Sus scrofa: one gene and its partners. The protein of the gene in region 1 interacts with the protein of each later gene in a pairwise test. Links are inferred from orthologs where the notes say so. Each region holds a gene or a part of one and is shown in the gene's direction. Other genes may lie near its edges.

The links.
Region 2: the proteins of TRIM23 (region 1) and GPANK1 interact in binary tests that used the Homo sapiens proteins (3 or more experiments, as listed by UniProt). The link is inferred for Sus scrofa from reciprocal best matches to the Homo sapiens genes TRIM23 and GPANK1.
Region 3: the proteins of TRIM23 (region 1) and FAM133A interact in binary tests that used the Homo sapiens proteins (3 or more experiments, as listed by UniProt). The two-hybrid records come from large-scale screens. The link is inferred for Sus scrofa from reciprocal best matches to the Homo sapiens genes TRIM23 and FAM133A.
Region 4: the proteins of TRIM23 (region 1) and TBC1D22B interact in binary tests that used the Homo sapiens proteins (3 or more experiments, as listed by UniProt). The link is inferred for Sus scrofa from reciprocal best matches to the Homo sapiens genes TRIM23 and TBC1D22B.
Region 5: the proteins of TRIM23 (region 1) and GPKOW interact in binary tests that used the Homo sapiens proteins (3 or more experiments, as listed by UniProt). The two-hybrid records come from large-scale screens. The link is inferred for Sus scrofa from reciprocal best matches to the Homo sapiens genes TRIM23 and GPKOW.
Region 6: the proteins of TRIM23 (region 1) and AQP1 interact in binary tests that used the Homo sapiens proteins (3 or more experiments, as listed by UniProt). The two-hybrid records come from large-scale screens. The link is inferred for Sus scrofa from reciprocal best matches to the Homo sapiens genes TRIM23 and AQP1.
Region 7: the proteins of TRIM23 (region 1) and FLAD1 interact in binary tests that used the Homo sapiens proteins (3 or more experiments, as listed by UniProt). The two-hybrid records come from large-scale screens. The link is inferred for Sus scrofa from reciprocal best matches to the Homo sapiens genes TRIM23 and FLAD1.

The regions. Positions count from the first base shown.
Region 1 is NC_010458.4:44,143,492-44,147,698, reverse strand, and holds the start of TRIM23 (E3 ubiquitin-protein ligase TRIM23), read left to right. Parts: upstream 1-1,407; 5' UTR 1,408-1,502; coding exon 1,503-1,583; intron 1,584-4,207. Other genes in the region: TRAPPC13 (trafficking protein particle complex subunit 13), read right to left, coding at 720-765.
Region 2 is NC_010449.5:23,777,547-23,781,691, reverse strand, and holds the start of GPANK1 (G patch domain and ankyrin repeat-containing protein 1), read left to right. Parts: upstream 1-1,345; 5' UTR 1,346-1,871; exon of another isoform or gene 1,872-2,284; intron 2,285-2,361; exon of another isoform or gene 2,362-2,364; 5' UTR 2,365-2,453; coding exon 2,454-3,058; intron 3,059-3,951; coding exon 3,952-4,145.
Region 3 is NC_010461.5:76,148,349-76,152,151, forward strand, and holds the start of FAM133A (protein FAM133A), read left to right. Parts: upstream 1-1,500; intron 1,501-1,584; exon of another isoform or gene 1,585-1,608; intron 1,609-1,614; exon of another isoform or gene 1,615-1,705; intron 1,706-1,725; exon of another isoform or gene 1,726-1,856; intron 1,857-1,890; exon of another isoform or gene 1,891-2,083; intron 2,084-2,490; 5' UTR 2,491-2,560; intron 2,561-3,803. Other genes in the region: NAP1L3 (nucleosome assembly protein 1-like 3), read right to left, coding at 1-1,145.
Region 4 is NC_010449.5:32,891,178-32,894,677, forward strand, and holds part of TBC1D22B (TBC1 domain family member 22B), read left to right. Parts: intron 1-3,377; coding exon 3,378-3,484; intron 3,485-3,500. UniProt on the Homo sapiens protein: May act as a GTPase-activating protein for Rab family protein(s).
Region 5 is NC_010461.5:43,189,039-43,193,237, reverse strand, and holds the start of GPKOW (G patch domain and KOW motifs-containing protein), read left to right. Parts: upstream 1-1,399; 5' UTR 1,400-1,458; coding exon 1,459-1,590; intron 1,591-1,663; exon of another isoform or gene 1,664-1,816; intron 1,817-2,311; coding exon 2,312-2,458; intron 2,459-4,199. UniProt on the Homo sapiens protein: RNA-binding protein involved in pre-mRNA splicing. As a component of the minor spliceosome, involved in the splicing of U12-type introns in pre-mRNAs.
Region 6 is NC_010460.4:42,073,942-42,078,231, reverse strand, and holds the start of AQP1 (aquaporin-1), read left to right. Parts: upstream 1-1,490; 5' UTR 1,491-1,680; coding exon 1,681-2,070; intron 2,071-4,290. UniProt on the Homo sapiens protein: Forms a water channel that facilitates the transport of water across cell membranes, playing a crucial role in water homeostasis in various tissues.
Region 7 is NC_010446.5:94,810,621-94,814,826, reverse strand, and holds the start of FLAD1 (FAD synthase), read left to right. Parts: upstream 1-1,406; 5' UTR 1,407-1,484; exon of another isoform or gene 1,485-1,552; intron 1,553-1,947; 5' UTR 1,948-2,091; coding exon of another isoform or gene 2,092-2,172; 5' UTR 2,173-3,621; coding exon 3,622-4,206. UniProt on the Homo sapiens protein: Catalyzes the adenylation of flavin mononucleotide (FMN) to form flavin adenine dinucleotide (FAD) coenzyme.

The DNA.
Region 1 (4,207 bases):
GAAATAAATGCATTTGTGGTAATAAAAAATAGATGAAATAAAGCTGAAAGCATTTCAAATAAAAAGTTTCAGAAAACAATTCCAGAAAAGTAAGCCCTGCTAGTTTCCCCTAAATAATAATCAATTAAATGATCAAACGTACTCGAAGTTGTTTGCTGTGTACAGAAAATGAAAACTGACACGAATATTCCCATATACACAATACTTTGAAGTAAACTGCAGTGATTTTTAACAAACCTAAATTATATGTTGTGGTATTACGTATTTTTAAATCCTTGGCACAATAACTAGACTAAATTTCACAAATGAAGCTGAAGCCTGGTAACACTGTCATTGCCGCGTCAAGAGATAAGAGACAGAGGAAAAAACCACTTTAGATACCCGCTGTTAATGGTCTCATTTGACAGGGCTCTCCCCAGGGTAGGGAGGTCAACTACTGCCAAAAATCTCTCCGGTGACTGCAGCAGCATATAACAGAGTAAGTAATTTACCACGTATCTATTCCATTTTACAGGGCGATTCTCAAACTCAAAACCCAAAGCGAGGAAACGGCTTCCTCACGCTGGGCGCCCAAGGACAGAGAGGAGGACGAGTACTGACAGTGCTTAAGAAGGACGAGGCCTACATTCCAGAGGCAGGTCTATGTGCCATGAAGCTTCGAGAACTAGTGAGAGAAGGGGAGAAAACAGATTACTGGGAGCCGGGTTCGCAAAGTTTACCTTTCAAGGCCAGCAGGTGCTCCTGCTTGGGGGGATTCACTTCCATTGTGACCGGCACTTTGGAGCCACTGCCTACGGAGGCTGAAGCGGTTCAAACAGCCCGGAAGAAAACAGAAAAGCGCACGTCCGTGAAGACAAGGCATTAAAGACACTCCCAACAGTTTCTGTCTGCCGGTAGCGCCTTATATACTCTTCTAACCACGTCCTTTACTGACCCAACGGCTCCTTTTTACCAAAGTCATCTCTTGCCTCTTACAGGCCTATACATAAAATACTTCTCTATTTTCCAGCCACAGCCACACGCCGCTCTTTCAAGAAAGCACTCCACGGTAACAATACACAACCTCCCAAATACCTACACTGCAGAGTAATTGATATAAATGTGGCACGCTGGGATTTGTAGTTTAAAAGCCGCATGGCATGCAGGGAGATGTAGTCCCCGGTCTCCGTTCGTTAGAGGGAAGAAGTCATTGCTGGGGTAGGAGTTTCATCCCAACAATTTTCTTCTGTTTTATCCTCTCTTTTTTCCCTTAATTTTGTTCCTTCTATCAAGTTCAGACTCCTCAATAATAACAAAATAACAAAGCGCATCCACTGAAGAGTGTGCAGCCAATCAGCAAACGAGTGCCAGAAGGAGGAGCGAAGAAGTCGGCCCCGCGGCTTCTCCGCGTCGTACTGCGCCTGTGCACCAGCAGCGAGCGCCTAGGCTTCTGGGTAGGTGGCTCTACCCCGCCTCTTAGTGAAGGCCTTGACTGCTGCTTCTGCGGCACTGCACCTCCTAGGATGGCTGCCCTGGTTGTAAACAGGCCTGGTGCGGGACTAGACAGTGGTCGTCAGGGCAGCCGGGGGACAGCGGTGGTGAAGGTGAGGGACCTTGCGTACTCTGTTCTCCGCCATCTGCCTCCAGTTCATGCCGGAGATCTGGCGGCACTACAGCGGCCCTGGCTGTTGGGGGCCGGTATGCGCGGCCCTCTGGGCCCCTCTCGGCTTTACAAGCTTTGCCCTCCCTTCCTGAGGCCTGAGGTTGCATGGTCTCCTGGTCATGCTAGTCTTCTGCTTGGAGTCGCCAACGGGGACATTTGTGAAAAGGAGCCTATCGACATGTTAGAGTGACCTGGGCTGGTCTTTCTCCAGGTCCTCTGCTTGTAGTTCAGCCCAACAGGCGTTGATTAGCCTTTTTTTTTTTTTTTTTTTTTAAATTAAATTGAGCCATTATTATTGCCAGGTACTACGTTAGGTATGTAAGATCGTTAATATCTATTAGAGGTAAATGTTGATTCTCGTTTTACGGGTGAGGAAACTAAAGTTTCGAATAACACTGTATAGTGGAGCCACAGCTGACTGGCTTTAAAGTACACTTTTCACTATCGTATTACTTCTGTAATGAGAGCTCTATTTTTGCTTGACCTGCTCCTTCCTTTCTTTTTGTAGTACAGTTTGTCAGCACTTTTGAGAAGTCTCCAAAAGTCCCATTAACTCTGGGGAATGTGAATTGCCCTATGACTGAACTTTGAAATTGTATCATGTGTAGATGCTCTAAAATGTATTTACTAAGAAATCAATTGAAATATGTGGAATTCGTTTTTCCATATATAGATAAATAGAGATTCGGAAGGGAGAACTGATTTCAGTGGTTTATAGAATAAGCTAGGAAGATTTATAATCTGTGCTATTGAAAATTCTTATTCCTGACTTCATATTAGAATAGCTGAGGACTTAAAAAAAAAAAAAATAAAAATTAGGCCCCCGGTTCTGATGAAGTTGACATCAGTGTATTTTTTTCATTCCCAGAGTGGTTTTAATGCACAAACTGTTCAGAACCACTGGGTCAGATATCTGAAATTTTCTTAGAATCTTAAATAGTAGACACCTATGATTTTTCACCTAATGTTGGTTTTATATGACATCAAATGATACATTTCTGCTAACAACTGTATTAATCAGTATTGGTAGTTGTTGATTCATCTGACCTTTATATGTTAATGACATTCTGAAGTACATAGACTATCTGAAATGCAGAAGAGCGCTCTTATTAAGCTTGTTGTATGGTTGAGTTTTTATTTATTGAATTATTCTTTTTCTTTTTTAAATTTTATTTACTTAATAATGATTTTTATTTTTTCCATTATAGCTGGCTTAGTGTTCCTTTTTTTTTTTTTTTTTTTTGTCTTTTTAGGGCCACACTCGTGGCACATGGAGGTTCCCAGGCTAGGGGTCCAATTGGAGCTGTAGCCGCCAGCCTACACCACAGCCACAGCAGTGCAGGATCTGAACCTTATCGGTGATCTACACCACAGCTCATGGCAATACCAGATCCTTAACCCACTGAGCGAGGCCAGGAATTGAACATGCATCCTCATGGATACTAGTCAGGTTCATTAACCACTGAGCCATGATGGGAACTCCAAATTAGGCTTTTTCTTTTTCTTTTTTTCTTTTTTTTTTTGCTTTTTAGAACTGCACTTAATGGCATATAGAGGTTCCCAGGCTAGAGGGTGAATCGGAGCTATGGGCTGCTGGCCTGTGCCACAGCCACAGCAAAGCCAGATCCGACCTACAGCACAACTCCCAGCAACGCTGGCTCCTTAGCCCACTGAGTGAGGCCAGGGATCGAAAGGGCATCCTCATGGATCCTAGTCGGGTTCGTTAACCACTGAGCCACGAGGGTAACTCCAGGCTTTTTCTAAGTAGAGAATACCTGTATGTTATTTTGTGAATTAACTTCAGTTAACAAGTTCTTAATTGAAATAGATATTATTGCTGTTAGCTCCTTTTGTTTTGTTACCCTGTTTGCCTTAAAATCTCAGAAATACACCAAAGCCTGCTGTAACTGTGGTTTGTTATAACACAGTTTGTTATGGTTTGTTATAACACAGTTTGTTATAGTACAGGCTCATTTTGTTAATTTTCATTTTTGTATGTAAACTGTGCCTAAGCTGTGCAATAGGATAGTCGTTTTTGGCAAGATCCTCATGGTATAATTTTTAAGAAATATGTTGGTATAAAATAAAAATCTTATTGTCATTTTCATAGATGAAAGCAAGCAATATTTATTGGAAGGTAAAAGTTAAAGTATATAATGCTAATGTATACATGGAAAATGGCTTCCTGCTTAATGGACGAGTTGATTATGACAGGGTTTTTGTTTTGCTTTTTTTTTCTTTCTTTTTTTAGGGCCACACCCGTGGCATACAGAGTTTCCCAGGCTAGGGGTCTCATTGGAGCTACAGCTGCCAGCCTACATCACAGCCACAGCAACTCCAGATCCAAGCTGTGTCTTCGATCTACACCACTGCTTATGGCAACGCCGGATCCCTAACCCATTGAGCGAGGCCACAGATTGAACCCACAACCTCATGGTTCCTAGTCATATTCATTTCCACTGAGCCACAGTGGGAACTCCTGACAGGGTTTTTATCATTAGGAAAAATAGACACAAATCCGATATGAAATTATTATTATTATTGTTATTATTATTATTTTCTCTT
Region 2 (4,145 bases), on another chromosome or scaffold:
GATCCTAGACTGGAGCAGTTCTCTCCAGCTCCTCCTATTCACACCTCAACCCCTTTTTTCAGAGACAGGAAATTCTCTGGGGTCCCAACACTTGTGTGTAACCGGCAGGTCTTGACCCATTAGTCCTATCCACATCCCTAACGCTCCCCAAGGCCAGGCCCCTCTCTCCTCTATGTCAACTCCAGCAGGGCCTGCGGCTCAGATTCCCTACCCCCGCAAGTCTCCGTTTGTCCCCGGCCCCATTCCCAAGGTTTCCGAAGTTTCTTTCCAGGCAAGAGCTAAGCTCCTCTTTTTCTCAAAGTCTGGGGATGGCAGTTAGGTCCCTTTCACGGGAGTCTCCTTATCCCGCCTCCATCCTTCAGACCACCCCCTCCTTCCTTCGGTCCCGGACCTGGTCACTTCCTTCCCCACCCCCACATCAAGGCACGGAGACCCCTTGTGCCGCGCCCAGGAACAGGGGACGCGGCGCGGCAACGACCTCAGACTCACCGGCTGGACGGGGACTGGGACCGGGGGGGCGGGGAGGGGAGGGGAGTTTCTGCTTCCAAGGAACCGCGGCGACGGCTACAACGCAGGCCGCGGATCCAACCGCGGCAGGCGAAGTGGGGCGGGGGGAGTGGAAACTGGGGAGGGTGGGGAAGAGGGCAACGCGCAAGCGCTTAAAATCGTGCGCCGCGGTGAACGCCGGGAGATGGAGTCCTCGGAAGCTAGAAACTGGCGCAACTGAGAAAGGGCGAACTACGAATCCCAGGACGACCCGCCCACGACCCTGGTGTCGCGAGGCCCCTGAGGGAAACGCTCCGGGGCGGGGCGTAGGGAGCCGCCACCGGAAGCGGAAACGCAGTACCGTGTTCTGGGCCAGGGAGCCTGGGAAATATAGTCGAGTGATCTTATCACCGTGGGGCTGAGAGGGGGCGGGGAAAGGAACAAGACAGGCTGGATCATTTACTGCCGCTCCCTCTCACACAACGAGCCTCAGGCGTGCGGCCCTGCTACCCAGACCATTGACCTCATCACCGACCAGCTGCCTGGCCCTTATCGCTTGTGGAGCCCCCCTGTCCGAGTCAGCCTGCCAAGGAGACCCTCAACGGGGCCCATATTTCACTCAAGGGTTTGATCTCCTGAGGTGGGAGGTGAGGCCGGGTTCCGCGCTGAGGGACCTGGGTAGGGTGTGCTGGCTGAGCTGAGAGGTGTGAGAATCGGGAAGGTCCCGTGCGCTAACCTGAGGTGGCGCCAGCCATTCTGTTGCTCGTCCCCTTGCACTTCTCCATTTCCTTTTAAGGCTTGAACAGGGCCTTCTGCTGCGGGTGCTAAGTGCGACCTTCCAACCCTGGTCAGATTAATGGTGAGGGGCTGCGTGACTATTTCATTTCACGGCTTCTGGGCATTCTCCGCCTCAGGGCCTTTCTTAACCCAGAGGGTGGTTTCCCAGGTCCAGAAAATGAGCTTGGAGCGGGGGCCACGTTGAGGGAGGCGAAGAGCATTGTGGGGGCGTTAGGTAAAAGCAGGACCCCAACCGACAGATATTTCTCGATCCTCGCGCTACCAGGGCACGTGGCGTTTTGCGCTTGTGTTATTGGAAAGATTCCAGGGCGGGAAATAGCCCGGAGCAGCGCGCCTGCGTGCTCCAGTATTGTTTTTGTTTGTCCCCCGCCCGCTCCCCATTCAGCTGCGCATGCGGCTTTGACTGTGGACGCCTTTGCTTAGAGTAGCGCCATTTTGCAGTACGGAAGCTGCAAAGCAACGAGTGGAACCTCCCCGCGAATCGGCTTCCTGCTTCCGGACAAATGTCAAGTCTGTTTTTGTTTAAGAATACCCCGAAATAGGATCCAGGAAGATTTAAAGAGCCAGGCTGATTGTTTTCCTTAATGGTATGTCCCGCGCAGTTGTAAAGTAGTTTCAGAGAAAGGCTGTTATTATTGATGGTGAGGATGGAGTGGGGGCAGAGCACAGGACTTCTGGGCAACTGTCTTACAGAGTCTACTTTGTTAACCTTTACTAAGGGGCATGGTCTGTTACCATAGGGTTTCCTATTTTTACACAATCCGTGGTCCTCGGGGTTCACTTTCCGCGTAGGAGGGTTTTTGTTTGTTTTTGTCTTTAGGGCTGCACCGGTGGCATATGGAGGCTCCCAGGCTAGAAATGGAATTGGAGCTACAGCTGCTGGCCTACACCACAGCCACAGCAACGCAGGATCCAGCCGTGTCTGCAACCTACACCACAGCTCACAGCAACGCCGGATCCTTAACCCACTGATCTGAGGCCAGGGATCGAATCTAATCAGGTTTGTTAACCACTGAGCCACGAAGGGAACTCCCGGGAGGGGATTTTTGATTCTAAGGATACTTGTTTTTATCCCAGCAGGTGTCTGTAGGTGATTCTGGTCATTGCAGGACCATCTGGGACTTGGCTTCCCCCTGCCTAATCTCATTTTCCCAACTCTCCCCAAAGCCATGTCCGGGTCCTCCCTCATTAACTTTACCCCAGCCACTGACCCCAGTGATCTCTGGAAAGATGGGCAACTGCAGTCACACCCTGAAGAGCTGGAGCCCACCCTGGATGGGGCTGCAGCCCGGGCTTTCTATGAAGCTTTGATTGGGGACGAGGACAGCACCCCTGAGCCCCAGAGATCTCAGCCTGAGCCTGCTAGAAAGAGGAAGAAAAGACGAACGATGAGGGAGACTACAGCAGGAGCATCAGGAGAAGATGGACAAAGGAGATCCCTTGAGGCAGAGGACAAGATGACCCAGCAGATACTGAGGGCAGCCCAGGAGGGGGACCTGGCAAAACTGAAAAAGCTGTTGGATCCCCATGAGGCAGGGGGAGCTGGAGGGAATATCAACGCTCGAGATGCTTTCTGGTGGACCCCACTGATGTGTGCTGCCCGAGCAGGCCAGGGGGCAGCTGTGCGCTATCTCCTGGGCCGTGGGGCGGCCTGGGTGGGGGTCTGCGAGCTGGGTGGCAGGGATGCTGCTCAGCTGGCGGAAGAAGCAGGCTTCCCTGAAGTGGCCCGCATGGTCAGAGAGAGCCCCGGAGAGACAAGGAGTCCAGAGAACCGGTAAGGGGAAGCCTTATCTTTCATTGTGTTCTGCCCTTCCTCACACTTCACACAGGAGGCCACAGAATAGAGCCAAAGGGTTTACTTTCCTGTTCCCTAATGTAGGCTGATCGGGCAGTGTGATTATGAACAGGATACTCCCTTGGATTATTTTTTATATAAAACATTTTTTTCATTAAAAAAAAAATTGGGGTAGTTCCCATTGCGGCTCAGTGGTAACAAACCCAACTAGTATCCATGAGGACGAGGGTTCAGTCCCTGACCTCAGTGGGTTAAGATCTTGGCATTGTCGTGTGGTGTAGATCTCACATGAGGCTCGGATCTCACATGGCTGTGGTTGTAGCATAGGCCAGCAGCTACAGCTCTGATTTGGCCCCTAGTCTGGGGACTTCCACATGCCGCAGGTGTGGCCCTAAAAAAGACAAAAAAAATTTTAAGTTTTTTAATTGAAGTATAGTTCACGTATATTTGCTATATTCCCACATTGCATGGGCTCCTTGGGTTTAAATCCTGACTGTACTTACGTGGGCAAGCAACCTAACCCATGTGCCTCAGTTTCCTCATCTAAGAAATGGAGCAATAAAAGCACCTTTCTCTTAGGGTTGTTAGGGTCAAATAGGTTAATATATGTAAAGTGCTAGAAAAGCACCTGTCCCATACTAAGCACTATACCAACACTAGCTATGGTCACTATTGTTATTTTTCATCACCCAAGAACTTTGTGAAGCCTTTTTAACATCTGTTGGCTCAACTATTCCCTTTTGGGTCTCTTATCATGAAGTGGGGAGGAAGGCAATTTGTTCCTCAGCAGAAATACAGGAAGGACCTAACCCTGCCACCCTCCTGAGGCCTCAATCCTTGTGTTGCCCTTAACCATTCTTTTTTCTTTGCAGGCCCCGATCCCTCTCCCCCCAGTACTGTGAGACCTGTGATGCCCACTTCCAAGACTCTAACCACCGTACATCCACCGCTCACCTGCTCTCACTGTCCCGGGATCTCCAGCCCCCCAACCTGCCCCTTGGGGTGCCTACCTCCAGCCCAGGCTTTAAGCTTCTCCTAAGGGGGGGTTGGGAGCCTGGAAAGGGAC
Region 3 (3,803 bases), on another chromosome or scaffold:
CTCCAATCTATCTTACAGCCTTTGCAATCTTGGATTTCCCAGCCCCAGGAGAAGAAGGGATCATTGTGATCTGGCTTTGACTTTATTATATATGTCTTGGTCAGCACCTCATTTCTGAAGTATGGATTGGGTAGGAAGCAAAACTCAAATGTGTAACTTATAGGCCGGCCAGGTTTTGAGAACTTCAGGCTAACATCTGACAGGAACTTCAGAATGGGCTCATCATACTTCTGAATCATGGGTCCCAGCTTGTCAACATTCTTTAAGACAGTCAGCCAATAGTCGGGAATGCCTTTAGGATCTTCTCTTTTAGGCTTTCCTTTGCGAGCTCTTTTCAGAGCCCTTTCTTTAGGCCTGACCTCAGGAATTCTTTTAGGAGCTTCTTTTACAGCAACCCTGGCCTTAGTCGCCTCTGTTGCTTTAGGCTGCTCTCTGTCTTCTGCCTTTGCTTGGGGGGCTTCTTTTGGATCTTCCTTTACTTCAGGCTTGGCCTCCAGAGCATCTTTAGACTCTGCTCTTTCTTCAGCCTTTGCCTCGGGATTTTCTTTAGGGGCTGCATTTTCTTCAGCCTTGACCTCAGGTTTTGGTTTTGGGTCCTCTTCTTCCTCACCCTCTAAGGCAGGCATTTCACTAGGGCCCTCTTCCTGCACTTCCTCATCACTGCTAAACACCTCATCCTCCGAATTCCATTCACATTCTTCCTCCGTGGGCTCATATTCTGCATTGATGATTTGGAATCGCCGATCATACAGAGGCCTATTGAGTTCGGCATATTTTCTTTCGAGCTCGTGAATTGCCTTTAAGAACAGGGCGTCTACCTTGTCACATTCATCTTGAATATTTCTGAGCGCCTGCACACGATTTCTAACTGCCCGAGGCAGCTGATCCACGAAACTTCTACCCGACGGAGCCCGCCGCGCCCTTCTGGAAGGCCCAGGTACCCTCTTCTTTCTATAGAAACGGCTGCGGCTATTGCTGCTGCTGCTGCTACTGCTGCTGCTGCAACTAGTGCTGCTGCTAGAGCTGCTGCTGCTGCTGCTGCTGTCAGATTCTTCCCCAGAATCGCTAGACGAGCTAGCCACCATCTCTTCATCCACCCCCTGGGCCGCAGCTCCCGAGACCCTGTTAGGATCCGCTTCTGCCATTCTGCAAGCCTGCAAACCGCTTAGCGTGGTGACTACCGCGCGCACAGAGATGGGCCGAAAATGACTCACGGATGCTTGGGTGGCAGCGGTGGAGGTCGGGGCAGCGGCGAAGGCAGCAGGAGTGCAGGGCGGGGTGGGGCTGGGCTGAAGCCGCGGAGGCGGCAGCGACACTGGAGGCCTGAGCAAGAGCGGCAGAGGTAAGGGCTCTCCCGGCTGCAGCTGCTGCGGACCGAGGCGTGCCTCAGCCGAATGGCGCAGTGCGAGACCCCGAGATCTCTTCACTACTAAGATATTGAACCCCCCCCTCCCCTAGCCGTCAGACCTCCCGTTAATTTCGTTCCCAGTGTGCCCTTTAGCTCTCACCTCATTTGCTAGGCATGCTTGATCGACAAACCCTCAGGCCAATGAGTAGCCAAAAGCACCGCCCCCTCCAGACTCCGCCCACCTTCCCAGACGCTCCTAGGTAGCTAAGGCTCATACCCCAGGAAGACGTTTTTCCCCCTCAAAATTTTATCCTTATAGTTTTATAATTCAAAAAAAAAAAAAAGCTTAGCTATGAGGTAAAAATACTAGTCATGGTTTCTAACAAGGGAAGAGGAGTATCCTTCTCCCATCTGCCCTTCATTAATTCCCGTTTGGTTTGTCAGGGGCCTCGTGACAAAAATCTGTTTTTTAAAAATTGGATGAAAATACTCCAAATGACATCTTTGGGTAGTGTGCTTGTGGATGATTTTTTAATTCTCTTTCTTCTATCTAGATGTTCTATGAGCATGTATTTTTACACTGGGGGGAAAAGAGGGAGTCGTTTATTGGCAAAGCGGGGAGGGGCTAGAAAGCAGGCATATTGCCTTCCACGTAACAGTTTTAATAAGTGCTGTCTGTGGTGTTTGGCAAGCCTGGTTTATATCCATCTACAAGGTTTGCGAACCCATGTTGCCGTGAGTCAGTTACACCATTTTTTACTATATTTCTCCTTTTAATTTGGCGTGTAATAAACCCCAACCTTGCTGCTGATTTGCCACGTAGTCCTTCTCAATGCTTGTAACAACCTTGTAGATAAAATAAGAGGGCATTCAAATGTTAGGTAGTATTTTTTAAAAGCAGACGCTTTGTTCTATACTTTCATGCAGCACTTTTCCATTCCAGGAATAGCAGGATGGGAGGGGGAGTCTGTGCTGATGAAACTGCATCCTCTGTCAGGGTATACTTTACAATGTCATCTGCCACCAGTTTCCTTCTAAAATTGTAAAATGCTAGCCATACTAAAGTATGATTTACAAATCCAGTAATATGTGAATAAACTTGCAAAATGAAGTTTAAAAACAGCTGTTATTTTTATTTGCAGGATTCTTTTCTGCCACAGAACAACTCCCTTGGTACAACCAAAAAGACCCGTGTTTACTTTTCATTAAAAGGTAAGGAACATATTTAGCCCATTTTTATGAATGACAAGAATTACCTATATATATTTGAATAAAAATTCACGACAGAGTCTTTTAAAGACTTAATTGGAAGATAGTTCTATGTAAGCAGAAAAATCCACAGAGGTGATTTAGAATATTAATGAGGAAAATAACCTAATTAATGACATTCACTTTCTAAACCTGCTCATAGAAAGCAAGTAGCAAATTAAAACATAACATCTGATGAATTATTCATTTCAAATGAGGAAAAATATTAAAGTAAGATTAATCTTTATGTTGCTTCTTTATTATAGGATTTGTGCTTAGTCATTTAGTCATGTATTTATAAATTAAGAAACACTTTTATTTTCTATTTTGTAAATGAATTTAGTTTTATTGTTTATTCCTGATTGTCAAAGTATGTAAGCATTGTAAGGGAAAATACAATATAGAAAATTAAAATAATAATAGAAATACACAATTTTAATCAAATGATAACTATTGTTAGCATTTTGATGCATTTCCTTCTGGAATTTTCTTTGTACATGTACATGCCTGCCTATTTATATATACTGTTTCATCTTGTGAACTTATGTTTTGTAACCTGTGCATTTATCAGTTAATTGTGGCTATACTTTCATAGAAACCGATCAATATTTTATTTTAAAATAGATGCATATTTCATGGAAATATTTGCCTTAATTTACTTAACCAGATTCCTCTTGTAGGGCAGTTACTCCCTGCACCATCTTTCCACTAACGTACATTTTCCTGTTGTTAAAAAAGTTAACCCTGGATACCTGCTATATGAACTTGTAAAAACTAGTCATCTGATGAATTCCTAGAAATGGAAGTGCTAGAATGAGTTGTATTCTCATTTTACTCTTTGACACATATTGCCAAGCTTCTCTCCAGAAAAAATGATCACAATTTAAAATCCCAACAATAATGCATGAGTTTATTTAGCCATTCAACTAATATATTTTTGTGCCTGCCACGTGCCAGGCACGTGTGGTAGAGGATAATGATATAATGCTGAATAAAACTTAATGGGTGCATATCCTCTCATTCTATAATTTTCATTAAAATATATACTATGGAAGGTATGATTTAAATCAATGAAATTATGCTATAAATATTGTTCTACAAATTATTATTTTTTTAAATGATGGACATATTTTGTTAATGCTTTATATTTTTATAGTACTTTAATGATTTCATATATATGTTAAATTTTATACTATCAAGAATCAGC
Region 4 (3,500 bases), on another chromosome or scaffold:
CTCCGATTTGACCCCCAGCCTGGGAACTTCATATGCTGCAGATGCAGCCATTTAAAAAAAGAAGTATGTTTTATGTTTGGAATTAAGTTGGGTTTGACTACAAATAACAAAGATCTAACATGACAGCACCCTACAGAAGGTAAAAGTTTACTTGTTCCTCATTTAATAACAGTAATATTAGCTAAGATATACATAATTCTCATTTTATGCCAGGCATTGTTAGCACTTTCCATGTACTAACTTGTTTGATCCTTATAATGTCCACCGACCCTGGCAGGATATCATCACCTTACCAGGTGAGGTTTTGAGGCTCAGAGGGTGAAGCCGTTTGCCAAAAGCCACATAGCTCGAGAGTGACAGAGTCAGGTTTTAAGCTGTGAGGTCTGGCTCCAGAGTCTGTGCTCTTATCCCCATGCTATTCTGTCTGACAGCAAAGGGCTCATGTGGCAGCTGCGCTCCCCCTTCTGCTCAGGGACCCAGGCTCTTTGTCCCTTGTATGGGTTCCTTAGGCCATTGTTTGCAGTAGTGGGAGTTGCACCTGGGTGTCCATCCTTGGGGGACGGATGTGTAAAGGGGTGGTGGCTTCTGCAGGGCGGGAACTAGTGGTATATACAGCAATGTAAAAGGGTCTTAGCAGGAGTTCCCGTCGTGGCTCAGTGGTTAACGAATCCAACTAGGAACCATGAGGTTGCAGGTTCGATCCCTGCCTTGCTCAGTGGGTTAACGATCCGGCGTTGCCTGTGAGCTGTGGTGTAGGTTGCTGACTCGGCTCAGATTCCATGTTGCTGTGGCTCTGGTGTAGGCCAGTGGCTACAGCTCCAATTCGACCCCTAGCCTGGGAACCTCCATATGCCACGGGAGCGGCCCAAGAAATGGCAAAAAGACAAAAAAAAAAAAAAAAAGAAGGGTCTTAGCACTGAAACATGAAGCAAAAAGTAAAGGAAGATTCTGAGCTGGGTCTTAGAGCCCAGTATCATTTAATTAAATTACTAATACATATGGCTACCGCCCTCCCTCACCCCCCCCCCCCGCAAAAAAAAACCCCACTATGTAATGAGTGTTAGGGAAAAAAAGTATTTCTTTTTTTTTTTTTTAGGGCCGCATCCACAGCATATGGAGGTTCACAGGCTAGGGGTCCAGTTGGAGCTCTCATCCCAGGCCTACACCACAGCCACAGCAACACAGGATCCGAGCCACGTCTGCAACCTACACCACAGCTCACAGGCAACGCCGAATCCTTAACTCTCTGAGTAAGGCCAGGGATCGAACCCAAGTCTTCATGGATGCTAGTCGGGTTCGTTACCCCTGAGCCACAACGGGAACTCCAAGATAGTATTTCTTGGGAGGATTTTTTGTTTGGGTTTCTCAAATGGACCGTTACATATTATCCAAAGTCTTCCATTTCTGCAGGCTTAGTATTATATTATAGAATCTTTTTGTGTGTGTGGTGGTGGTAAAAGGAAGATGTAGTCGATTGCAGCCCCCTTTTTTTCTAAAATAATGTGCATTTTTTCTTGGCTATAAAAATTATGCTTATTGTAGAAATTTTGAGTAGTAAGTCTTAAAGAAAATAAAAATTCGTATCCCTGCCACCTGGGGAATAAGCACTGTAAACCTTTGTGATGTATTTTGTCTTTCCTCTGTGCTTATATAAACACATAAATACTGTATGTACACTAGTTGAGAATATACCATAAATAATTTTGTACCTTACTCTTTTCCTTTTACACTGACGTGCTTTCCCATGTCCTTACGAATTCCTAATAAACTTCATCTAAAATAAATTATATTGCGCCTACTGTGAGCCAAGCACTGTTAGCACTTTACTTGTATTAACTGTGGACTTTTACATTGTTCCCAGGGTCATAGCTTTTCTGACAAAACACCCCATCCTCCCCAGAAGGATTTTTACAGCCCTTGGGTGTCTTATTAAAAAGCACTGTTTATACAGGATGAGAATCCGAGGGTTGTCCCAAGAAGGTCCAGTTGTAGGACTTAATAGAGTAATAATTCTCCTAAACGAAAGGGCTGGATTCTGAAGGCATTTTGTCCCTTGCCTGTGTCTCTGCAGCACCAGGGACTGCAGGGGACATCCTGTTTTCAAGACAGGGCTGCAAGGACATAAGCTGCCTCTGGCCCAGAACCCACATGTGACCTCTGACCGGCACGTGGGGCCTGGGGGTTGAGACGGCCTGGCCTGTCTTGTCCACTCTCTCTGGCAGAAGGAAACATCACAGGGCCTCTTCCTTCTTCAGGTGTTCTCCCCACTTGCATCTCAGACTCACTCCCGTCACTTAGTGTGGGGTTTCCATGAGAAGCCAAAAGAGGTCCCGTGGCTAAAGAAGCCGGGGAGATGCTGGATAAGCAAGGTTAAGGAGATTTGCTTAATGCAGAATTTCTAGTAACTTCTCAAATCCTTTTGTGTGCTGTGATTGTCGTGACTCTCCAGAATGAGGACATGTAGCGCGCATTTCTCACCCATATTTCCTGTGGAAGCTCTTTTTTCTTGAGTGTCCTATAGGATTGACGTCTTGCAAAACCCAGCTTAATAACTACCAACTTGGTGAAGTTCAATCCTGGAAGCTCCTGCAGGTTTGGGCTGTGGTACTTCACACACTCACTTTTTTTTTTTTTTTTTTTTTCTTTTTTTTTGGGGGGGGGCACACCTGGGGCACACGGATGTTCCCAGGCTAGGGGCCAAATTGAAGCTGCAGACGCTGGCCTACGCCACAGCAACGCGGGATCCAAGAAACATCCACGACCTACACCACAGCTCATGGCAATGTGGGATCCTTTAACCCACTGAGTAAGACCAGGGATCACACCTGCTTCCTCATGGATACTAGTCAGGTTCTTAACCCAATGAGCCACAATGGGAACTTCTCATCTTCACTTCTGAGTGGTAAGGCCATGGGTCTGCCCAAGGGGATTCCCTCTTGAAAATGAACTTTGGAGGCTACCTGATCCCAGCCGTTCTCACCAGTGTGAGTGTGCCAGACAGTTCAGTGAATTTCTGAAATCAGAGAATTTTTCCAGACCCTCTCCAGGCGGCAGGATATAGCTCATTGAACATGAGGCCTGAAGTGTTTCTCCTCAAACTAAATGAACACATGCAGTGGGAAAGAAAGATGTGTTGGACCCATCAAAACTGGTGTGAGAAATGGCCTGTTCAGTGTCCTAATGAGATCCTCAAGGGCCTTCCTGGGACACTGGGCCCACCTGACAAGGGAGGAGGAGGGCAGGCCCCGGTCTTTGGCATCACACCAGCCCAGCTCTCTCCTGGCCTCAAAGACCCTGTTGGAATACACCAGACTCCGTCCTTCTCTCTCCACGTTTCAGAGAAGACCCCTGGACTCTCTTCCCCTTTTGTTTTACAGAAGAGGACGTGGAGAATTTCGACGTGACTAATTTGTCTCAGGACATGCTGCGAAGCATTGAAGCCGACAGCTTCTGGTGCATGAGCAAGCTGCTGGACGGGATCCAGGCAAGGCACTCTGCCC
Region 5 (4,199 bases), on another chromosome or scaffold:
GCTGTGGCTGTGGTGTAGGCCTGCAGCTGCAGCTCTAATTTGACTCCATCTTGGGAACATTCAGGGGTGGGGCCCTTAAAAAATAAAATAAGTAAAATAAATTTCATATGGAAATGCAAAGAAGAAAACTATGTTGTAAAAGAAGACAGTGAAGAGTAATTAAAATACCTGACTTCAATATATACTATAGAGCCACAGTAATCATGACAGTGTAATAATCATAGAGGCTGTGAAGGGTCTGCTAGGAAGAGGGAAGAGCATGGGCAAAGGCAGGGAGGTGGAATGACAGTGGGCATAGCTGGGGAACTTCGAAAGCCCCATGGGGTCACAAGAACAGGGCAGAGCAGTGAAGGGGGTCCAGTGTGTCCCCCTCAGACAAGGGCAGGTCCGAGATGGGAGGCGCATGGGGTCGAAGGAAGAATGAAAGCAGGGACCATTCAGCCATGTCACCGACAAGGACCGCCAGGACCCTGAAAGGAGGGAGCGAGAGGTGGCCCAGCCAGCCAGGATGGACACCAGGACACAGTGTGCCCGTCCACAGCCCATGGTGACATAGTAACTGGGCCAAGGGACTGTCGGGGGTGAAGGGCCTGAGACCCACACTGCCCTTGGCTGAGGAGGGGCCCTGGGTCCCTCCCGCCCTCAGCTTCTTCCTCCACAAAGTGGTGGCCACAGGCCTTCTCTCCCTGCTCCCCATTCCTCCTTCCTGCTTCCACTACAGGACCACTGTGCCCAAGCATTCCCCCCTCGGGGCCTTTGTCTCCAGAGCCCCTCACCCCCACCCCCTTTCAGACCTAGGACGGGCCTCCTCTCTCCCCTCTCATTGCCTGGGGTCCCCTCCACCCACGTGCCTTGAAAGCCTCCTCGAGTCCAGCCCCCTACTGTCCCTCCACTCTCCAGGAGACCCACCCTTCCCTACCTTTGGAATCCCCCAACCCTATCATGCTCAGGGCCCTGACGCCTCCCTCCCGTGGCCCCCCAAGCCTCCGAGGTCACCCTCCCCCCCAGCCCCACATTCCCCGCCAATTTACTGAGTGCCTACGATGTGCAAAGCTCTGCTGGAGGCTGCAGAATACCCTGGGTAACGTGGGTTCGGGGTCCGCATCCAGTTTCCAGTTGTCAGAGCGCAGGAGGGGCCCTGAACGTCTCTGGGCCTCGACGTCCCCCTCTCCCACGTGGAATGACGACATCCCCGGGGTGGAAAAGAGGTTTCCCACGGTGCTGGGAAAGAGAGGCAGCGCCTGCGGCAGAGCGAGGCCAAGGGCTCGCGCGGGCTCCCTCCCTGGGCCAGGCCTCCTTGCGGGCCGCCAGGTAGGTCACCGCGCTGCTTGGGGCGCCTGAGCACGGGACCGGCCGGCCTCAGCCGCGTCCAGGCCCGGGCAGGCGGCCAGGTGAGCTCGCCCAGGCGCTCCCAACACGCCACTGGCGTCCGTGCGTCCAGCGGGCCGAGCACAGGTCATGGAGCCGCGCGCGGGGGGCGCCACAGACCCTAGGGGGAGCGGAGGAGGTACGGGGCGAACGGGAGCGAGTGGACGCGTCCCTGCCAGCCCTCGCCCCGCCTGTCTGCTCGTCACCTTTTCCTTCTGGCAGGTGGTAAACAAGGCAGCCCTGGCGCCCAAGGGGCGGCGGCGGCCGTGGCGGCGGCGGCGGCGATAGAGGGCAGGGCCCCAGCGACCCGGGCTGGGCTCTGGGCCCCCTACCCGCACCCGCGCTGCGAAGCGGTGCACCAGACCCGGGGGCTCTCAGGAGGGTCCGGGGAGAGGTGCAGGAGGGGGTCTGCCCGGGGTCACTGGACACACCTGGGCACTCGGGCAGGGTCTGTGGTGGCCTCCGGGGGTTAGGCAGGGCCCTGCGAGGATATGGGAAGGGGCAATCCGGGGCTACGTGGGCCGGCAGGGGTACCTAGGCTATCTAGAGGGGAACCGGGGGTGCCGGGGCCACAGGGGCCGGACCGTGTTCTGTCGGGACCTCTGGGAGAGTCGGGATCCTTCTCGATGCTGGCGGGGAAGAGTTTGGGATCTGGGATTCTGGCGGCAGTTGGGGGAGGGGGCAGTAGGACACCTCCAGAGATGCCCACAGGGTGTTCGGAGGGGTCCGGGAATACTGGGGTTAAACAGCTAAGTCCAGAGATATCTTGGGGGCAGGCGGGGTCCACGGGCAAGCGAGGGACAGTCGGTGACCTTCGCAACTGTGGAAGAGTGGTCCCGGGTCTCCGGGATCTTGATGGCCACTCTAGGTCTTCGGTCATCGGGGGGCGTGGGGGCTCGCTGAGACTGAAGGTGGGCGTTGATCTGCCCTTTCCGTTCGCCAGGCGGTGGCCTTCCTCCGCGCGCGGGCCCCAGCGCCCGGGAGCGGCTGGCGCGGCTGGACGCGCGCCCCCTGGCGGCCCGAGCTGCGGCGGACGTGGCGGCGCTGGTACGCAGGGCGGGCGCCACTTTGCGCCTGCGCCCCAAGGAGGGTGCGTGACAGGGGCGGGGCGTCCAGAGGGCGTGGTCGGAGCGGAGCCGGGTTCTGGGGGGGCGGGCCTGGGATTGTTAGTTACTGCCCTGGGTGGGGCCAGCGAGTGAGTGTGAGTTGGGAGGACGAGGCTCGGCGGTGTTGAGGGGTCTGGGATTTAGCCTATAATATTCCTCTGGGAGGTGACACAGAGGACGGCTATTGGATCTGGCGTTGCTGTGGCTGTAGGGTAGACCCGCAGTTGTAGCTCCGATTTGACCCCTAATCTGGGAACTTCCATATGCCTCCGGTGCGGCCTTAAAAAGCTAAATAAATAAATAGAGAATATTATTAATTTCCCAGATATCCCCTACCTACACTTCAAACTGATTTTTCTTTTCCACCTTTTTTTTTTTTTTCTTTTACGGCCACACCCAGGGCATATGGTATGGAGGTTTCCAGGCTAGGGGTAGAATCAGAGCTGTAGCTGCTGGCCTATGCCACAGCCACAGCAACGCCAGATAGGAGCCGCATCTGCGACCTACACCACAGCTCATGGCAACGCTGGATCCTTAACCCACTGAGCAAGGCTAGGGATGGAACCTGTGTCCTCATGGATGTTAGTCAGATTCATTTCCACCAAGCCAGGATGGGAACTCCTGATTTTTCTATTTAATGAAATATTGTAACTATTGTTCCCTGTTGAGCCATGAAGAATTTTAAAACATCTGTAATCAAAGTATAACAGTTCCCTCGTGGCTCAAGGTACCTGACTGGTATCCATGAGGATGTGGGTTCGATCCCTGGCCTCGCTCACTGGGTTAAGGATCCGGAGTTGTTGTGAGCTCTGGTGCAGGTCACAGCCGTGGCTGGCATCCTGGGTTGCTGTGGCTGTGGCATAGGCCGGCAGCTTCAGGTCCAGTTCGACCCCTAGCCTAGGAACTTCCATATGCCGTGAGTGCAGCCCTAAAAAAAAAACCAAAAACACCCAAAGTATAACTAACATTCACTCATTATCATACAGAACATCCTGCCCCAATTTTCCATTCTTTCCTTCAGATCCATTCTTTGAAATGGAGTTATCGCATCAGGGAAGAGATATATATTATTATACTGCCCCCGATAAACTTTCAGTCAATTTATGCCCTTATCAGCAGTGTATGAGTGTGCCCATTTTTTTCTTATTCTTTTTCTTTTGGGGCTGCACTGGCAGCATGAGGAAATTCCCAGGACAGGGACTGAACCCAAAGTATAGCAGCGACCCAAGCTGGTGCAGTGACAACACCAGATCTTTAACCTGCTCGGCAGCAGGACAATTCCCCCATTTTCTTCCATCTTTAATAACTTTGGGCATCATCCATAGTACTTACTATTTTAGATCTCGGCCCAGTTAGGCTCTCTGGACCAAAGTTCTCTTATCTGTAAAATGGATTTTAAAATAGCCCCTACCTGCAGTTCCCATCCTGGTGCAGCGGTAATGAATCCGACTAGGAACGATGAGGTTGCGGGTTCAATCCCTGGCCTCCCTCAGTGGGTTAAGGTTCCAGCGTTGCTGTGAGCTATGGTGTAGGTCGCAGACATGGCTCTGATCTGGCGTTGCTGTGGCTGTGGTGTAGGCCAGCAGCTGTAGCTCCGATTGGACCCCTAGCCTTGGAACCTCCATGTGCGGCGGGTGCAGCCCTCAAAGGACAAAAGACAAAAAAAAAAAATAGTTCCTACCTTACAGAATCCTTTGGAGAACGAAAGGAATGCTTAGATGTGCA
Region 6 (4,290 bases), on another chromosome or scaffold:
GGGAGGCCATTGGGGGCTGGCATCGTCTTCTGCAGATGGCCCCTGAACAGGACCCGTGTGCTCATGCCTGCCCTGGCACACACACAATTCAGAGAAGTCCTTCCGCTCACTGGGCCTCAGTTTCCCACCTGTGAAATGGGGAGAAGCCCGCCTTCTCCAGTAGGGCTGTGATGAGGCTGGCAGGAGACCGGAGGAGAGGACCAGGGAGGCCCCTCCCTCCTGGGGCAGCTTTGCCCCCAGGGCCCTGCCTGGCTCCTCTTCCCCGCAGACGCACTGCAGCAGCCTGGTGGCCTGGGCCTGGGGTTCCTGACCAGCCTCCGGCCCAGGAGTCCAGGTTCCTGCTCAGTTCACTGGCTGCCGCTGGGCCTCTGGCTTTGGCGCAAGGCTGGACTATGGGGCGGGGTGGGGGGCGGGCATGGTCTTTAGAGCTGCCTCTTCCCTCCCCCTGCCCCAGGCAGTGTCCGGTCCCTCCCCTTTCCCCTCTGCTCTCTCCTCTTGCTCTTCTGGATTCTCACCTCTGGGTCCAGTCCTGTGTCCCCTCTTTCCAGTGGTCTTTCGCGCTTTGTGCTGTCTCTGTCTCTCCTTCTCAGTCCCCAGTGTCTCCCTATCACTGTTTGGGGATCTGTTCCTTTCACTTCTGCTTCGGCTGATTCCACATCCCACTGTCCTTCCTCCTCCCTCTGTCTCTCTGCCTCTCGTTGCCTCCTTTGCCTCTTCCCCTCTGGGCCCCGGTGTCTCTTCCTCTCCCTTTCGTGCTCCCACCTCTCTTCCCCCTTTCTCTCCTCCCCTTTCCCTCCGGGGCTTTCCGGTCAGGTTGCCCTTCCTCCTGTCTCCCCAGTGGTCCACCAGCTTCATAGGCTTCGAGAGGAAAGTCCTTGCCTGCCCTCATCTTCCCCAGCTGCCGCAAGATCATTCGCTCAAATCAGAGTAGGGAGCATCCTAGCCTGTCTCAGGCCTGCCCTGGACCACAGAGTGGGGGGTGGTCTGTAGATGAGCTCTCTGTACCCCCTGATGCCTCTGTGTCCCCATCAACTGAGGCCTGGCCGGTGGTCTGAGGGTTCTGGGACATTCCTATGGTGACATTTAGTGGCCAGGTATGGGAGGCGCAGACTGCCGCTGGGGACCCCTGGACCTGTGGACTCCAGACTCAGGCCTCTCTGGGGTTGGATGGGGATGGCAGACCAGCAGGGTCATGGTGCCCGCCTCTAGGAGGGCAACGTCCACCTGCTGAACCTAGCCGCTCACCCGCCCCATCCGGAGCGCCTGGCTTTGCCCTCGGGCACCCCCTGCGCTTTGCACACAGGGCAGGGACACCTGGATTTCTCTGGCCCCCTGAGTGGGGCCAACTTGGAGGAATTTCTCAAAGCCTATTAGAGAAACGCTGCCTCCTGCCTGCCTCCTCGAGCTGGGCAGGGCTGAGGGCGGAGGGAGAGAGGGAGGGAGGGGAGAGAGGAGGAAGGGAAAAAAAGTTGGCAGGCCGACAGCAGAGCTGTGTCTGCATCCATCGCTGAGAGGAGGCCCGTGCAGTGTGGGGCGGGCCAGGAGCAAGGAGAGGCCTTCCTCCCTTTGTGCTCCCCCCCCCCGGGGGGGCCCTATAAATAGGCCCAGCCCCGGCTGTGGCTCAGCTCTCAGAGAGAGGCGAGCACCAGGCAGCCGTCTCAAGCCAAGCCCCCTGCCAACATGGCCAGCGAGTTCAAGAAGAAGATCTTCTGGAGGGCGGTGGTGGCCGAGTTCCTGGCCATGACCCTCTTCATCTTCATCAGCATCGGTTCTGCCCTGGGCTTCCAGTACCCCGTGAGGAACAACCAGACTTCAGGTGCGGCCCAGGATAACGTGAAGGTGTCGCTGGCCTTTGGGCTGAGCATTGCCACGCTGGCCCAGAGCGTGGGCCACATCAGCGGCGCCCACCTCAACCCGGCCGTCACGCTGGGGCTCCTGCTCAGCTGCCAGATCAGTGTCCTCCGGGCTGTCATGTACATCATTGCCCAGTGTGTGGGGGCCATCGTCGCCACTGCCATCCTCTCAGGCATCACCTCCTCCCTGCCCGGCAACTCCCTTGGCCTGAACTCGGTGAGTGGGGTGGTCCCAGGCGCCGGGGCTCTAGAATGGTGCTGAGATGCCGCCGGTTTCATCCTCTGCCCACTGTGCAGATGGGGATACTGAGGAACAGAGAGGACGAGAGGTTGCTGGAGGTCATGCTCAGTTGACCTGGAACTCAGCTGTGCCTGGGTCCAGAGCCCTTTTTCTTCCAGGCACTGTGGGACACGGAGACCCAGAGCGTAATGGTCTTGCCAGTGTCCCCTGCGGGCCTCTATTATGGGAAATAAGCTCTGGAGGCAGCTAGTGGTTGGGCCAGCAGCTCCTCACCCTGGTTTCTTGCTCCCTTCCACCCCAAGCCCTCCCTGTGCAGCAGCTGCCTCCCCATGCGGCCTGGACCCCAGGGAAACTCTGTCTGCTGTCCCCCGCCTCCCTGCACCACAGGCCGGGCATGTGTGTGGGTCCGTGACAGTGTGAGCAGGACTCCCCTGGGGCTGCTCCAGCAGCCCCACATTCGCACAGGTCCCCAAACCAACTGCCTTGAAGGAAAAAGCTCCTCTTGCTCTTCTGGCCCCAGGTGGGGGACAAAGATGGGGGTGAAAACCCTGTCTGGACAGTGTGCAGGCGGTTTTCTTGGATTACAGCAAGGGGCAGGGGCGGGGCAGGGCCCTCTCACCCCCTCTCTGGGTCCATTCGCGGTGGCCGGGCACTGAGAGGTGTGGTGTGTGGGTGGGTGTGAGCCGTGTACGCGCATGGATGGCCACCCTCATGGGTCTCCGAGCCCATGGAACCTGGGCACTCCTGTGTGAGTCTTTTTTGGAAGCGTGTCTGTGTCTGTGAGCCCGTTATACTGCTGGGCAGGCATGTGTGGGGGCGAGTATGTGCCTGCGTGTGCCCACCGCTCTCAGACTAAATGGGGCCCGGCCTGGGGGCACTCAGGATAAGCAGATGTGGGTGACCCAGCGGCAGCTGCAGAAAAGAATTCCTCCTGGGCCGCTTAGCACAGCTAATTGGCTGTTGGCGGCAGTTGCCTGCTGTCGCAGACCTGGGCTTTTCCAGACCTTCAGCCAAGTGCAAACTCAGACCTGGCTTGGGCCACAGCAGGGGGAGATTTGGCCTGAGAGTCTGGGTAGGGCTTGGAGGAGGTCTTAGAACACCGCAGCCGAGGGGGCGTTGCCACAGGGAGGGAGCGAGGCCAGGGAGCAGAGAGAAGGGATCAGGTGGGGTGTCGGCTGGCAGGGCCTGGGCAGGGCAGGCGGGTGTGGGGACAGTAAGAGAGGGGCCAAGAGCCCTGCAGAGACCGCAGGGGGTGATCAGAGAAGCAGCTCTTGCTTCCCAGTCAAAGTTCAGCTCCTGGTGCTGCGGCTCGGGGAGGCTTGGCCAGCTCCGGTGCGGAGGGCAGCTGGCATGAGCCTGCCATGGAGGGATTAGCACTTCTTGTGCCACAGTGACACCTCACCCAACCCGGGGTTGAAGATTAGCCCTGTAGACTGGAGTTTAGACTTTAGTCGAGAAAGAGGTGGGCATGGTGGCTGTGAGGGACAGAGCTCCAGCAGGCTGCGTCCCTCCAGGTCTATCTCTCCAGCGGGGGCAGAGCCGGGCAACATCGGGGAGGGCCCGCCGGGTAGGGTTGGGATCACCTTGGGGCTTAGCTGGGCAGGATGGGCGTGGGGATAGGGTCCTCCTGGTGGGAAGCTGAGTCTCCCAGGCCTCTCGGCCCCCTCTTGACCCTCTGTCTCAAGGACCAGGCAGGCAGGTGTCTCTAAGCTGGCCATCCCAGGCAGACGTGGGAGGGCGGGCTCCTCTGTGTCATCTTGATCTGGCCACGCCCTCCTCCAGTGTCCCGTCCCCTCTCTGGCCTTCATTTTCCAGAGTTGCCCCAATACCTGAGCCAGGCGGGTGGCAGATGGGGGAGAAAAAGGGACAGCATCGTGTGGGGCCCAGCCTAGACTCAAGTCCTGGATCCTACCAGCTTGTTGGGTTTCCCCGAGGCTGAGAGCCCTGAGGCTCCAAGAGGGGACCTGGGTCTCTGGATATCTCCTGGCCACATGTGTAGTACCAGCATGCTCACTCTAGGTCTTGAGTTTATCACTCTTCCCAGGGCGGTCTGGCTAAGGGGAGCCCAAGAGGGGCCGTGCTAAGCATAAGGGCACTGAGCACTGTGGCGGGACCCAGGGCAGCCCTGTCCACACCGTGGAAGTTTGGGGTCTGGCAGGGCACAAACAGAGAAAGCATCCCCGCCAAGGGCTCCCG
Region 7 (4,206 bases), on another chromosome or scaffold:
TTATTACTAATACAGATCATTTCGCATATGGCTTATGTAATTGGGAAAGCCCGATTTTTTTTTTTTTTTTTTTTTTTTTTTTTCTTTTTGAGCTGAGATTCTTTGAGTTGGAAGAAACACGGGGCTTATTGAGAAAGAAGGGACTAGAAGCCTGGCTCTACCATTCACTGTGGTGTTTCTGCGGTTGTTTGGGATAGTAAATTCAGGCCAGGTGTGGTTCAACAGTGCTCCAGATGAATGAATTTTAGACTTTTAGGAAAGAGTGTCGTCAGCATGACAGGAGGGTTTGTTAAATGCAGATCTCAAGCCCCACCTAAACCTCCAGAATCCCATAGATTTAATCAGCACATTAAAAAGGCCCCCCCTTATGATTCATGAGTATTAGGGTTTAAGAAGTACTTTTTAGACTAAAAGCAAGTGAAATAAGAGGAAGCTAGAATAATATGATAATCCAAAATAGACACATGGCACTCCCTAGTCACTGCCCTCACTTGTACCCACAAGACCAATTAACTGGGAGAGGTTATGTTTAAAGAACCATCTGGAACAAGGTGGGGCAAGACTTTTTCTTGTCGAAGAGGTTTAAGTAATTAGCTTTATTGTTTATAACAGGGACAAATGAAAGTTCCATACACTAAAAGCTCACCTCCAGGATCTTGCTACCTCACAGGCAATGCTGCCAATTTTTTTGGTGTCCGTGCAACTTCCATCTGCTACAATATAAAATCCCCTCTGATATTAGCCCCTGACCCCTTAGAATGAGTCATCTGTTAATGAATAACAGATATGCATACAAGAATCTGAATACAGGAGTTCCCGTCGTGGCTCAGCAGTTAACGAACCCGACTAGCATCCATGAGGGCGCGGGCTTGGTCCCTGTCCTCGCTCAGTGGGTTAAGGATCTGGCGTTGCCGCGAGCTGTGGTATAGGTTGCAGACGCGGCTCGGATCTGGCGTTGCTGTGGCGTAAGCCGGCGTCTACAGCTCCAGTCGGACCCCCAGCCTAGGAACCTCCATATGCCGCAGGTGCGGCCCTAAAAAGACAGGCCCAAAAAAAAAAAAGAAATATGAACACAGAAAGGAGATTAGAGTCAAGCCTCCCTTTACTTCCACCACCAGACAGGAAACCCCAAAGCCCTTAAAGCACCTGCACCCCTCATCGCTCCTTTCACTCCAGAGACGCCCCAAATCCCGCCCCGAGGGAAAAGAAGCCCCGCCCCCGACTGAAGGCCAGCCCCCACGTTTCCGGGTAAGGGGTGACCACGTGGTTGTCACCAATAACAACCCAGCACTACTCCCGCCCACTGGCTACAGCTCTCGAGCGATGATCGACTACACCAATGGGCCCTTAGAAGTAGTCTGAGCGACAGCCAAAATGACCAATTAATACGAGGTAGGTATGAGTCTAAGGCGGGACTCTGAGTACGGAAGCTGCCCCGAAACAGGAGGAGAGAGGGAAAGACCCGGTGAAAGGGCAAGAGGCAGGTGAGAACCTGGAAAAGCTCAGTAGTCTGAAGCGTGGCGGGAAGAGACAGTATTCCGGGCTGGAAAGGGTGCGGAAGGCTGCAGAAGAAGGGGCTGAGTTCTGGTTGGGGGTGGAGGGAGGGAACGCATTTAAAGGGGCCAAGGCCCAGGCTAAGGTAGACATTTAAAGGAACAGGTGCGGTAAAGAGAAGAGACATTTATTTAAAGGCGCAGATGCGCAAGGTAGAGCGGACCCTAGAGGAGCCGAGTTCGGCGGGCAGAAGACATTTAAAGTGGTAGATGTTCTGGAGGGAACATTTTCAGGAGACTAGAACCGAGCCTAGAAAACATAAAAAGAGGTATGGGCTAGGGTTTGAGAGCAGGTTTATTAAAGGGGCCGGTGTAAAGGAGTCGATTGTCAAGGGCCTAATGAGGAAGACGGTGCACTCCTGCTCTCCCCTATTGTCCTTTCTGGCTCCTCCAGGTTCCCTCGACCCCGGAACCCCTGTTCCCAGGCTATGACCCCCAGTGCCCTGTAGATCTGGCGGGCCCCCAGTGCTTGCGACCCCTATTTTGGGGTCTGGGTGGCTACTGGAGGGCCTTGCGGAGGGGCAGAGAAGGCAGGACCATGGCATCTAGGGCCTCTGAACCTCCCCCAGGGCGCAGCGTGACGGCGGGCATCATCATTGTTGGAGATGAGATCCTCAAGGTGTGTCTGGGACAGAAGAGGGGGGAGGGTGCAGCGTTCTCCTAACACGTTCTGTTAAGGGAGGGTGAACCAGGGTGGGAGCCCCCCTTGCTACCGTAGGGTCCTGGAGTGAGTCCAGTATATTGCAGGAAGAGTGACCTTCATTTATTCAATTACTCTGCTGAAAAACTTGTAGCAAAGTCCCTATAATTAGCCATGCTGTGTGGGAGGGGAGGAGAGGCTTTAACAGCAATGATGAGGAGGAATTCCGGGTGTGGCACAACGGGGATAGGCGGCTGCTTCTCTGGAGCGCTGGGCCACAGGTTCCAGTCCTGGCTGGCATAGTGGGATACAGTGGGTTAAGGATCCAGAAGTGCCGCAGCTGGACCATAGGTCACAACTGCTGCTCAGATCTGATCCCTGGCCTGAGAACTCCATATGCAGTGGGGTGGTGGGAAAAAAAAAAATGACAAGGAGTCCCATGTATACAGGAGGTATTATTTCAGAGTTATAGCCAGCCTAACTGGAAAATGATCCGAGGCATTCAGCAGAGTAGCTAAGTGGGATGGAAGGAAAGTACCAGAAGGGAGAAATCCCTTCTGAATGATCAAGGAAGTCTCATGAGAGGTCACGGTGAGCATCAGGTTCACAGTAGTACTATTACGTGCTTACTAGGGCCTGGCAGCGTGCTTATTACATGGCCTGTGTGGTTTTACTGATCCTCACAACAACCCCATGACGTGGGTATTTTTACTGTCAATATCAATGAATAGATTATGAGAATAAGGCTCAGAGTTGAGAGACTCACCCATGTGGAACAGCAGCTAAAAAGTGGTAGATGGGATTCCAACCCGATTCTCACTCCAGAGTCACCCTTAACCGCTAAACTCTGTGGAGAAGTAGAAGGAGATGGAGCTGGAAAGGAAGAGTGCATACACACCATAGACAGGCGGCCTCGAATATTCTGCAGAGGTATTTGAACTTTATTCTGTACAGGGTTGGAAACAACAAATGGCTTTTGAGCCAAGAGTGATGCAATCACAGTGACACGTTAGGAAGGTTATTCGGGACGCATGGGGCAGGGCGCTGTGGCTGGAGGCCGGGAGCCTGGCCAGGGGTCTGTCGCCACTGTCCAGGTGAAAGGTGCCAAGGACCTGTTTGGTGGCAGGAGGGACAAGAGAAGAGAGCAGATGGAGAGACACATTTCAGAAGTAGAGTTGACAGCATGAAGGGGCTGACTGGCTGTGGACAGTATCTGGGGATGCCATTGACCAAGGTGACAACAGCCTGGGTTGGGGGAAGGATGCCCAGGAAGCACTTGGAACCAGGAGACCGAAACTGTCAGAGTTGCTGAGGAAGTGGAAGAGCTGTCCATGTACGATTGATGATTGAATCCAGAAGCATAGATGAGGTCAAGGTCAAAGGACAGAGATGGAAGCCCAAGGTGGTTCACATCATCCCTGACTCCACATGGATCTTGCCACTCTTGTGCCCAGTCAGGGCTGGTGTCCCCCCAAGAGCAGAGGGCCCCACCCCCAGGCACATGCAGCCTCCTTCCTTCCCCCTCTGCCCTTCATCCCCACAGCACTGACACACTCGTCTTCCCCACCCCCCATCTCCCAGGGACACACTCAGGACACCAACACCTACTTTCTGTGCCGGACGCTGCGCTCCCTGGGGGTCCAGGTGTGCCGAGTCTCCGTTGTGCCCGACGAGGTAGCCACCATTGCAGCTGAGGTCACGTCTTTCTCCAGCCGCTTCACCCACGTCCTCACAGCAGGGGGCATCGGCCCCACCCATGATGATGTGACCTTTGAGGCAGTAGCACAGGCCTTTGGGGACGAGCTCAAGCCCCACCCTGAGCTGGAAGCGGCCATCCGAGGCCTAGGAGGGGAAGGCTGGGAGAAGCTGTCGCGGGTGCCCTCCTCTGCCCGCCTGCATTATGGCACAGACCCTCGCACAGGCCGTCCCTTCAGGTTCCCACTGGTCTCTGTCCGAAACGTCTACCTCTTCCCCGGAATTCCGGAGCTGCTGCGGCGGGTGCTGGAGGGGCTC